2 linked regions of the Cricetulus griseus genome follow. The protein of the gene in region 1 purifies or fractionates together with the protein of each later gene. This does not show direct contact. Links are inferred from orthologs where the notes say so. Each region holds a gene or a part of one and is shown on either strand. Other genes may lie near its edges. The genes, in order: Tulp3 and Ift43.

Evidence for each region.
Region 2: the proteins of Tulp3 (region 1) and Ift43 purify together in Homo sapiens (affinity purification with mass spectrometry; 5 studies listed by BioGRID and IntAct, counting the BioPlex papers as one, with this or other methods). This does not show direct contact. The link is inferred for Cricetulus griseus from reciprocal best matches to the Homo sapiens genes TULP3 and IFT43.

The regions. Positions count from the first base shown.
Region 1 is NC_048601.1:18,064,262-18,068,154, reverse strand, and holds the start of Tulp3 (tubby-related protein 3), read right to left. Parts: upstream 2,865-3,893; 5' UTR 2,754-2,864; coding exon 2,713-2,753; intron 1-2,712. UniProt on the Homo sapiens protein: Negative regulator of the Shh signaling transduction pathway: recruited to primary cilia via association with the IFT complex A (IFT-A) and is required for recruitment of G protein-coupled receptor GPR161 to cilia, a promoter of PKA-dependent basal repression machinery in Shh signaling.
Region 2 is NC_048598.1:117,719,639-117,723,549, reverse strand, and holds the start of Ift43 (intraflagellar transport protein 43 homolog), read left to right. Parts: upstream 1-1,086; 5' UTR 1,087-1,089; coding exon 1,090-1,278; intron 1,279-1,286; exon of another isoform or gene 1,287-1,328; coding exon of another isoform or gene 1,329-1,463; intron 1,464-3,241; coding exon 3,242-3,334; intron 3,335-3,911. UniProt on the Homo sapiens protein: As a component of IFT complex A (IFT-A), a complex required for retrograde ciliary transport and entry into cilia of G protein-coupled receptors (GPCRs), it is involved in ciliogenesis.

The sequences.
Region 1 (3,893 bases):
ATAAGGAAAATATCTGAAAAACTGCTTGTTAATAACCTTTTTCCTTTGTTGAAAAGAAATCTGCTCTGTTAGGTAAGACAGTCAAACAGCTACATAATCTAAAGGGAAAAAAATCAGTTACCCACACAACTAAAGGCATTGATACTAGGGGAACCTATATACTGGAGAGATAGCTCAGAGGTTAAGAGCACTGACTGCTCTTCCAGAGGTCCTGAGTTCAATTCCCAGCAACCACAGGATGGCTCACAACCATCCATTATGAGATCTGGTGTGCAGATATACATGGAAGCAGAATGTTGTATACATAATAAATAAATAAAATCTTTAAAAAAAAAAAGAGTATAGGAACTGGAAAGATGGCTCGAGGTGACGGGGCTTGGCCCAAAGATCTGGTGACTAGAGTTCCATGCCCAGACCCAGAACTGACTTCACAAAATTGTCTTCTGACTTCCATATTTATGCTGTAGCCCCCCTACCACAATTCATGAATGATAACTGTTTTTGGTTTTTTTTGGTTTGTTTTTTGTTTTTTTGTTTTTTTTTTTTGAGACAGGGTATCTCTGCAAAGCCCTGGTAGTACTGGAACTCACTATGTAGGCCAGGCTGGCCTGAACTCAGAGAGATTTGCCGGCCTCTGCATCTCAAGTGCAGGGACTAAAGGAGAGAGAGTTAAGCCTGAAGCCCTGGCTTCTATCTTTGACATAGTAGTGCTGCAAACCTGTAATCCTAGCAGCAGGGAGGTGGCTGTAGCAGAACGTTAAGAGTTCGAGCCCAAATTATAAAGACCATCTTGAAAAAGTAACAAAACTCAGTACACACGAACATCCAGGTTTGGTGATCCACACCAATGAGACACTAGGCAGGCTCGGGCAGAAGGGTTTTGATTTTGGGGCTGGCCTGGATTACTGGGTTATCCCAAGTCAGTCTCTCTCTCTCTCTCTCTCTCTCTCTCTCTCTCTCTCTCTCTCTCTCTCTCTCTCTTTCTCTCTCTCAATAAATGATTACCCTAAAACCAGACTTTCACTGCCTTTTACCAACAGTGACAAAAGCAGCATTATCTACCTGGGGCAAGAGAAATAGTGACTCACATGGATGACAACTGAAAATTAATGAGTTGGTTTCTTTGAAAGAAAAAGTTGGGGGGTGAGGTTTTAAAATTACACCTTTAAGGTTCAAGTTCAGGCAATGAAAAAAAAAAAAAAAACTGCCATCTGGTCCTAATTTCAAAGTCAAGTTCTTCTTGTTCCCTAAAGTCATGAATCATGGGAGGCAGAGGCAGACAGATCTATACGAGTTCAAGGTCAGCCTGGTTTAAATAGAGAATTCCAGTCTGACCAAGGCTACATAAGACCCGTCTCCAAACAAAAAATAAAAACAGCAAGAAAAAAGAATAAAACTAAAACCATATCACCATGAAATTTACTTCTCTAAATACATTAAATTAAAACCAAATCCCCCCATTTATTTATTTATTTATTTATTTATTTATTTATTTGGTTTTTTGACACAGGGTTTCTCTGTGTAGCCCTGACTGTCCTGGAACTAACTCTGTAGACCAAGCAGGCCTTGAACTCAGAGAGGTCTGCCTGCCTCTGCCTCCAGTGTGCTGGAACTAAACGTGTGCACCACCACCACCGGGAGATATCAACTGATTTTAATCAGAGACGCTGAATACTAATTTTAATAGCCCGACCTTATACTTGTAAATATATTTTTTTGTTCTAAAAGGGGGGGGATGTAAACACATTTCAGGTAGCAGCTATCATGTGTATAGAATTTACTGATGAAAGGCTAAAAGCGCCCAGCACTGGGAGGCGGAGGTGGAGGATCAGAAGTTCAAAGTCATCCTCATTAGCAAGTCTGAGGCGAGCCTAGCTGGCCTGAGATCGACGTTGGGGCGGCGGCGGAGGGGGGTGGGGAGGTTCTATTCCAGCGTCTTCGTAACTTTTTAAAAGATGGTTTCGAGTCAGTTAAATACTAGCTTAAACATCAGACTAAATCCTTACACACCAAGTCTTTATTTGCAGTGGTGATGGGATGGCAAACGAAGAATGTAGTTGAAATGTTTGATTTCAATCCTCAGACAACTCCAAAGTTTTGAACCAATGATTTCACAGGGCCCCCCATTAACTTTTCGTTAGCCCAGCTGACGACAAACGAACATTCTGAGGCGGCACCCCATTTGTTTCCCCAGGATCACCCTGTGGACCAGTCAGAGAGAGGGGGCGCAAACAAGAGGCAAGGCACAGTCTGAACTAAGACAGGCCGTCCTGAATAAGAGAGCTCTGGAACTCAAGGGAAGAGAGAAGAAGAAAAGAACAGTTTTGCATTTTCAGCCCTCGGACTCCGTTCCAGAATTCCGCAATGACTGCCAAAAGCAACGGCCTTGGAACCAATTAACCATCGCCCGCGACCTTCCGCTTCGACTCCCAGGAGGGACCTCGTTCCACCTCGGTTTTGACTCTGCTCCAGGGAGGAACGGTGAAGGGAGAACGCGTTGCAAGGGAGGGACTCGGAGACCCTGGGGGAGCAGGGCGAGCTTGGTCCGGGCAAACTCGGAGGACAAACTCCGAGGGAGCGGCACGAGAGAGTGCTGGCGGCGCGGGATGCACAGCGCCCGCCCTGCTTGGGGACCCGGTCCTGCCCCCACCCCACCCCCGCCCGGCCTGGAGCCCCACCCGCCCCTCCGCTACCCTCGCCCCCGCCCCTGACCTGTCCGCGCGGGGTCCCGGAGCGCAGCGCGCCGCCTCCATACCCGCCCGGCCGGTGGCATCAGCGTCCAGACCCCCGAGTCGCCGCGGCCGGGCTGGAGAGGATGGAGGAGGTCGGGCCCCGCCCCTGGCAACCACACCCCGCACTGTCGCCGACGCCCATTGGTCCACTGCCCGCCGCTCCCCTCTCACTGGCTAAGGGCGCCAGCCGCGATGCTGGAGGGTTTCCAGGGGGCGGGAGGCACCGGGAGGCGAAGGCGCGTGCGCGGGAGCGGGGTGCGCCCCTCCACCCCCACCCCCCGGGTTGGATCCCAGTTGGCCGTCGAGGGTGTCTCCTGCTGCTTCATTCCTCGGCTGCCTCCTTCAGAGCGACTCCCAGGACCCCACTGTCGCAATGAGAACACCCAGGGTGCTGCAAGGATTGTGGTCCAGGGATTTGCGAACTTCTGCCGCAAGGCAGGGATGCCCAAGGCCTTCAGACTGCAACACCAACCCTCACCCAAAACCCGACTGAGGGACCCCAACTTGGGGACCGACTTATATCCTTATCCCATAAGGGAGGTTGCTAAGCCTGACCTCTCTGCAGTAACTCATGCCTCCAGCATCAGTTCCTTTCTGGTTCTGGTCTCTATAGGACTTGCTGACTAGAGCTACTGCACGTAGACTTAAACTGTAAAGCCAAAGTTGCCACATTGATGCCGAATTCAAATTTTTACTTTTTAAAAAATTGATGTATTTATTTAGAGACAAGATCTCACACTACATAGTCTGGCTGGCCTGGAACTCAGATCTGACTGCCTCTGCCCCCTAGTGCTGGAATTAAAGGCAAGTGTCTCCATGTTCCAGGCTATTAGTTCATGTGTATGGATGTTATGTCTACATGTATGTCTGCGTACCATATGCATCCTGGTGCCCAAGGCTCTCACATAGAACCTGGGCATCCCACTCATAACCGCTGAGCGACCCCTCAGAAATGAACTTTTGAAAACTAGGAAATATGGTACATACGTAGACTAGGAGGGCAGAACACTGCACTCACTTAGCCCCCTCCCTGGATTGCTTCACTTTTTGTGCATCAAATTCTCACCCATATAAAGGGCAGCATAAGCTCTGCAGGCGCTGGATGCTAAAAGAGAAGGGTTGAAAGAGATGCTATTTGTATGAGTGAGAGGAACACTGAGA
Region 2 (3,911 bases), on another chromosome or scaffold:
TTCTGCAGGCCCAGGAGGATGGTGGGCAGCCATTATGTGTTGGAAAAGAACACTGCAGTAGAATGTAGTATTACAAGGGCTGGCCCAGCACTTAGTGCTAGAGTTATTTTGTTCCAGCTATCTGTCCTCCTGAGTAAAGGAGCTATTGTTGATCACTTTGTGGTGTTGTTCAGATTAAATAAGACCCCTAATGTTGTATGCTCTTTTTTTTTTTTAAGAAGAAGAAGAAGGAGGAGGAGAAGGAGGAGAAGGGTCTCACTGTGTTGCCAAGGCTGGACTCAAACTTCTGGGCGTACACGATCCACCTGAGTAGCAGTGACATGACTTCTGTCACCATGTTCCACTATATTTATACTTTTAAGAGTGATTAGTGCTCGGGTATTGGATATTTTAATCTGTCCTCTAAATAAACTTTGCTTTCAAACACAGAGTTTCATGTAACCCAGTCTCACCTCCCAAACTCACTATGTAGCTGAGGATGACATTGAACTCCTGATTTTCCTGACTCTAACTCCCAAGTGCTGGAATTACAGGCATGCATAAATAAACTTCTTAAAGGCAGAAATCACATACTCCACATTTTTGCAAGTCCTTGTAAACGTTGTAAACTTTATTACTTAGTGTTCATCTGTCAAATGGAAATAATACTACGTGTTCTGCCCTCCACAGTTGTTATATCCTTCACTAGAGCAGTATTTTAAAGGCCTTTCTACATTTCGAATGGGAGGGGTCAGAATAATCAACAGTGGTGCCTGCTCTCACTCATAAACATATTTAACCATATGTAGGCAGTCCCAAAGGCTAACCTAGCTGGAGCATCTGGAGCGGATTTTGGCATCTGGAGATTTGTTTTGTTTTCCCTAAGCCAAGCAAAGCTGGTTTAGAAAAGACCTGGTTTAAACTGGAAGGTGACATGCAAGACCCAGAAACTGTGAGGCGGGCTCTTTAAGGTGGAAGGGCGGGGTCGTTGTTAGGGACGCGGCGCAGAGTCTTGTTTCCAGGAAGTGACATCAGCGGCCGCGGAGATGGACGATTTACTGGACCTGGGAGAGGAGAGACGTCGCAGCTCGGCCACCTCCGTGAGGAGCGATGATGGGGGCTGGGGGCTGGTTCAACGGGTGGGACAAGTGTCGGAAAAACCCGGAGTCGGGACAGATCTCGGCTCAGCTGCCGGAGTGCGAACCCCGTCTTGACCGAGGGTGTGCGCCCCGAGCCACGCCCGCCCGAGCCCTGGAGTCTAGTCCCCGGAAGTTCTCCCGAAAGCTGCTAGGAAGAGAGGTGGCTGGGATTGTCCTTTCCTCTCTTAACTCCCCTTCCCAGGATTGGAAATGAATACTCCAGTTTATTACGTGTGTGTGTGTGATAACAACTGGGCAAAAACAACAACAAAACCGTTGATGGGCCAGAATACACCTAGCCCAGGATTCCTTGCTGGTGGAATGGAGGCGGCTGTGGCTGAGCAGGTGAAATTGGGTATTTACCGCAGCGCCTGACCTTCGCTGCTGGCCATGACCAGCATCTAGCCAGTAGATCATAGAACTTGATTAAAGACCTACATTCAGTGTTTTCTGACTGTCAAAGCCTCTAGATCTCCAAAGCTTTTAGAGTTAGTTGAGACCACTGAAAGATTGGGTCACCTGGCAAGTCCTTAGATTCTCCTGTAAAATCTCAGGTGTTTTGAAGGGCTCTGGTAGCATCCGATGCCCTCCAAGGTGCTAGAGAGGCCCCAATGGAGGGAGATAAGATGGGCAGGAGCCAATTGGTTGAGCAGGGGTTTTTTTATTTTTGTTTTTTAAAGCTAAGGACAATAGGCCATCGGGTCTTTCTGATACATGGACCTTTTTAGTAACTGGGATATCAATGTAGTGATTTAGTCATTCGTTTCACAAATGTGTGTTGAGCCCTACTATGTATCAGACTTTGTTCTAGTCAGAGAACGCAAAGTCACTGACCTTTGCCTTGGGGGTGGTGGTGAAGACAGTAAACAGATTGCCCTTAAAGTACGGGATCTCAGGTTGTAAAGTGGTTTTCTATGTTGCCAATTTATAGCGTCTTCAAATATCTCCAACTTTAACAATTGTTAGAGCAGTCGCTTGTCAACAGCATCTACAGATACCGTCACTAATCTCTGTTTTAAGGTAGCCACTGTAGGATCAGTACCATCCCGGAGAAGGGAATGAGCTGGTATTATCAGAAAGATTGTTCACACCACCCTTGGAAGATTGACATCCCAACTTGAAGGATTGATAAATGCAATCTGGCACCCAGATCCTACTTTAGTGGGGTTTTTTTTGTTGTTTGTTTTTTTCTTTTTTTTTTTTTTTATGCAGCACTCCTAAAAACTTTCCTTCTTAGAACACTTAGCACTGAGTTTTCAGCGGGGTGAGATGGGACAAATCCAGGATTCAAAGCCCCAAGAAGACTCTGCTACATAATCACTTCCTTGGGCCTCAGTTTCCTCTTTTATGGTGTCAATTTTGGTCTTTGTCCATACTATGATGAGATTCAAACAGAGCCACAGTAAAGGAGACTTGAAAGTGCTATGCTATGCTGAGTTTTATTTTTTTTAAGTAAATGATCATTCATAGACACTCTTCACTCATTATTATGCCGCAGAGTTTTATTTTTGTCCTGAGGAATGTTGGGGACAGAGCCCCTACCCACTTGGAGGGCTTGGGGAACGCCTGCAAATGCTTCATCAGGTGACTCAGAACCTTGAAGTGCTCTAGTTTCCAAAGGTGATGTCTCAGCATTCCTGTGCCCCTCTTCCCGCCCCACCCCCACCCCCACCCCACCCCAGGCCCAACAGCAGAGCAAGAGTTCTCTCTAGATGGGCTCCTCTGGTGTCAGTTGCCATGAAATTGAGGAATTCTCCCTGAAAGCCTGTCTGGTAGCTGTCACTCAAGTCCTGCCTAGGATGGTGGGAGCCTTTACCATCCGCTCTGAGTTGTGGTTTGAGGCTTCTGCCCAAACTAGCTGTGTTTTTATCTCTGTGTTAGGAACTTTGCTTTTGCTGTAGCTGGCTTTTGCAAATCTCATGATCAAAAACCTGTATGTTTCCTGTTCTGCCAAAGAGAACATTGTCTTGGGTACTTTCTCATAAAGATTTAGAGAATTCTCTGTGAATACCAAATCCTGCTCTCTGCCATGCCATAAAATTCCAGTCCTGGCTTACCATTCTGTCATACTCACAGGGCCTCAAGTGCCATTGGATCATTTGTGCTCTGGTCTCTCCTTGCAGGGGGCCAAGATGGGCCGCCGAGCTCAACAGGATTCAACACAGGCTGAGAGTTACTTGAGTAACAAGAATTCTTCATTGACTCAGACTGGAGAGGTGAGTGCTACAAAGACAGAGAGGAAACAAGAAGGTGAAGAGAAATGCCGTTTAAGAAGAAATGAACCCTTGATAGTAGGGTTGTGGTCCTCTATATCTGGTTGGAATGCCAGCTGCCTACATGTCTTGATTTGGGAGTTCCTTTCTAGGTCATTGACCTACTGGACTCTGGACTTTTTTTTTTCTTCAAACTCATAATGTACAGTTTTTATTTTATTTTGTTATTTCTTTTTATTTGATTTTTGACTTTTTGAGACAGGTGTGTGTGTGTGTGTGTGTGTGTGTGTGTGTGTGTGTGTGTGTGTGTGTGTTCGTAACAGGCCTGGCTGTTCTAGAACTCACTCTATAGGCCAGGCTGGCTTCAAACTCACAGAGATCCACCTGCCTCTGTCTACCAAGTGCTGGGATTAAAGGCATGTTCCTCTACCACCTGGCTTGTTTTATTTTTTAAAGACAAGGTCTCAAGTAGGCCAGGCTTGTGTGGAACTCACTATGCAGCTGAGGAGGACACTGAATTACTGATTCTCCTGCCTCTACCTCCTGAAAGCTGGGAATACAGGCATGAACTGCCATGCCC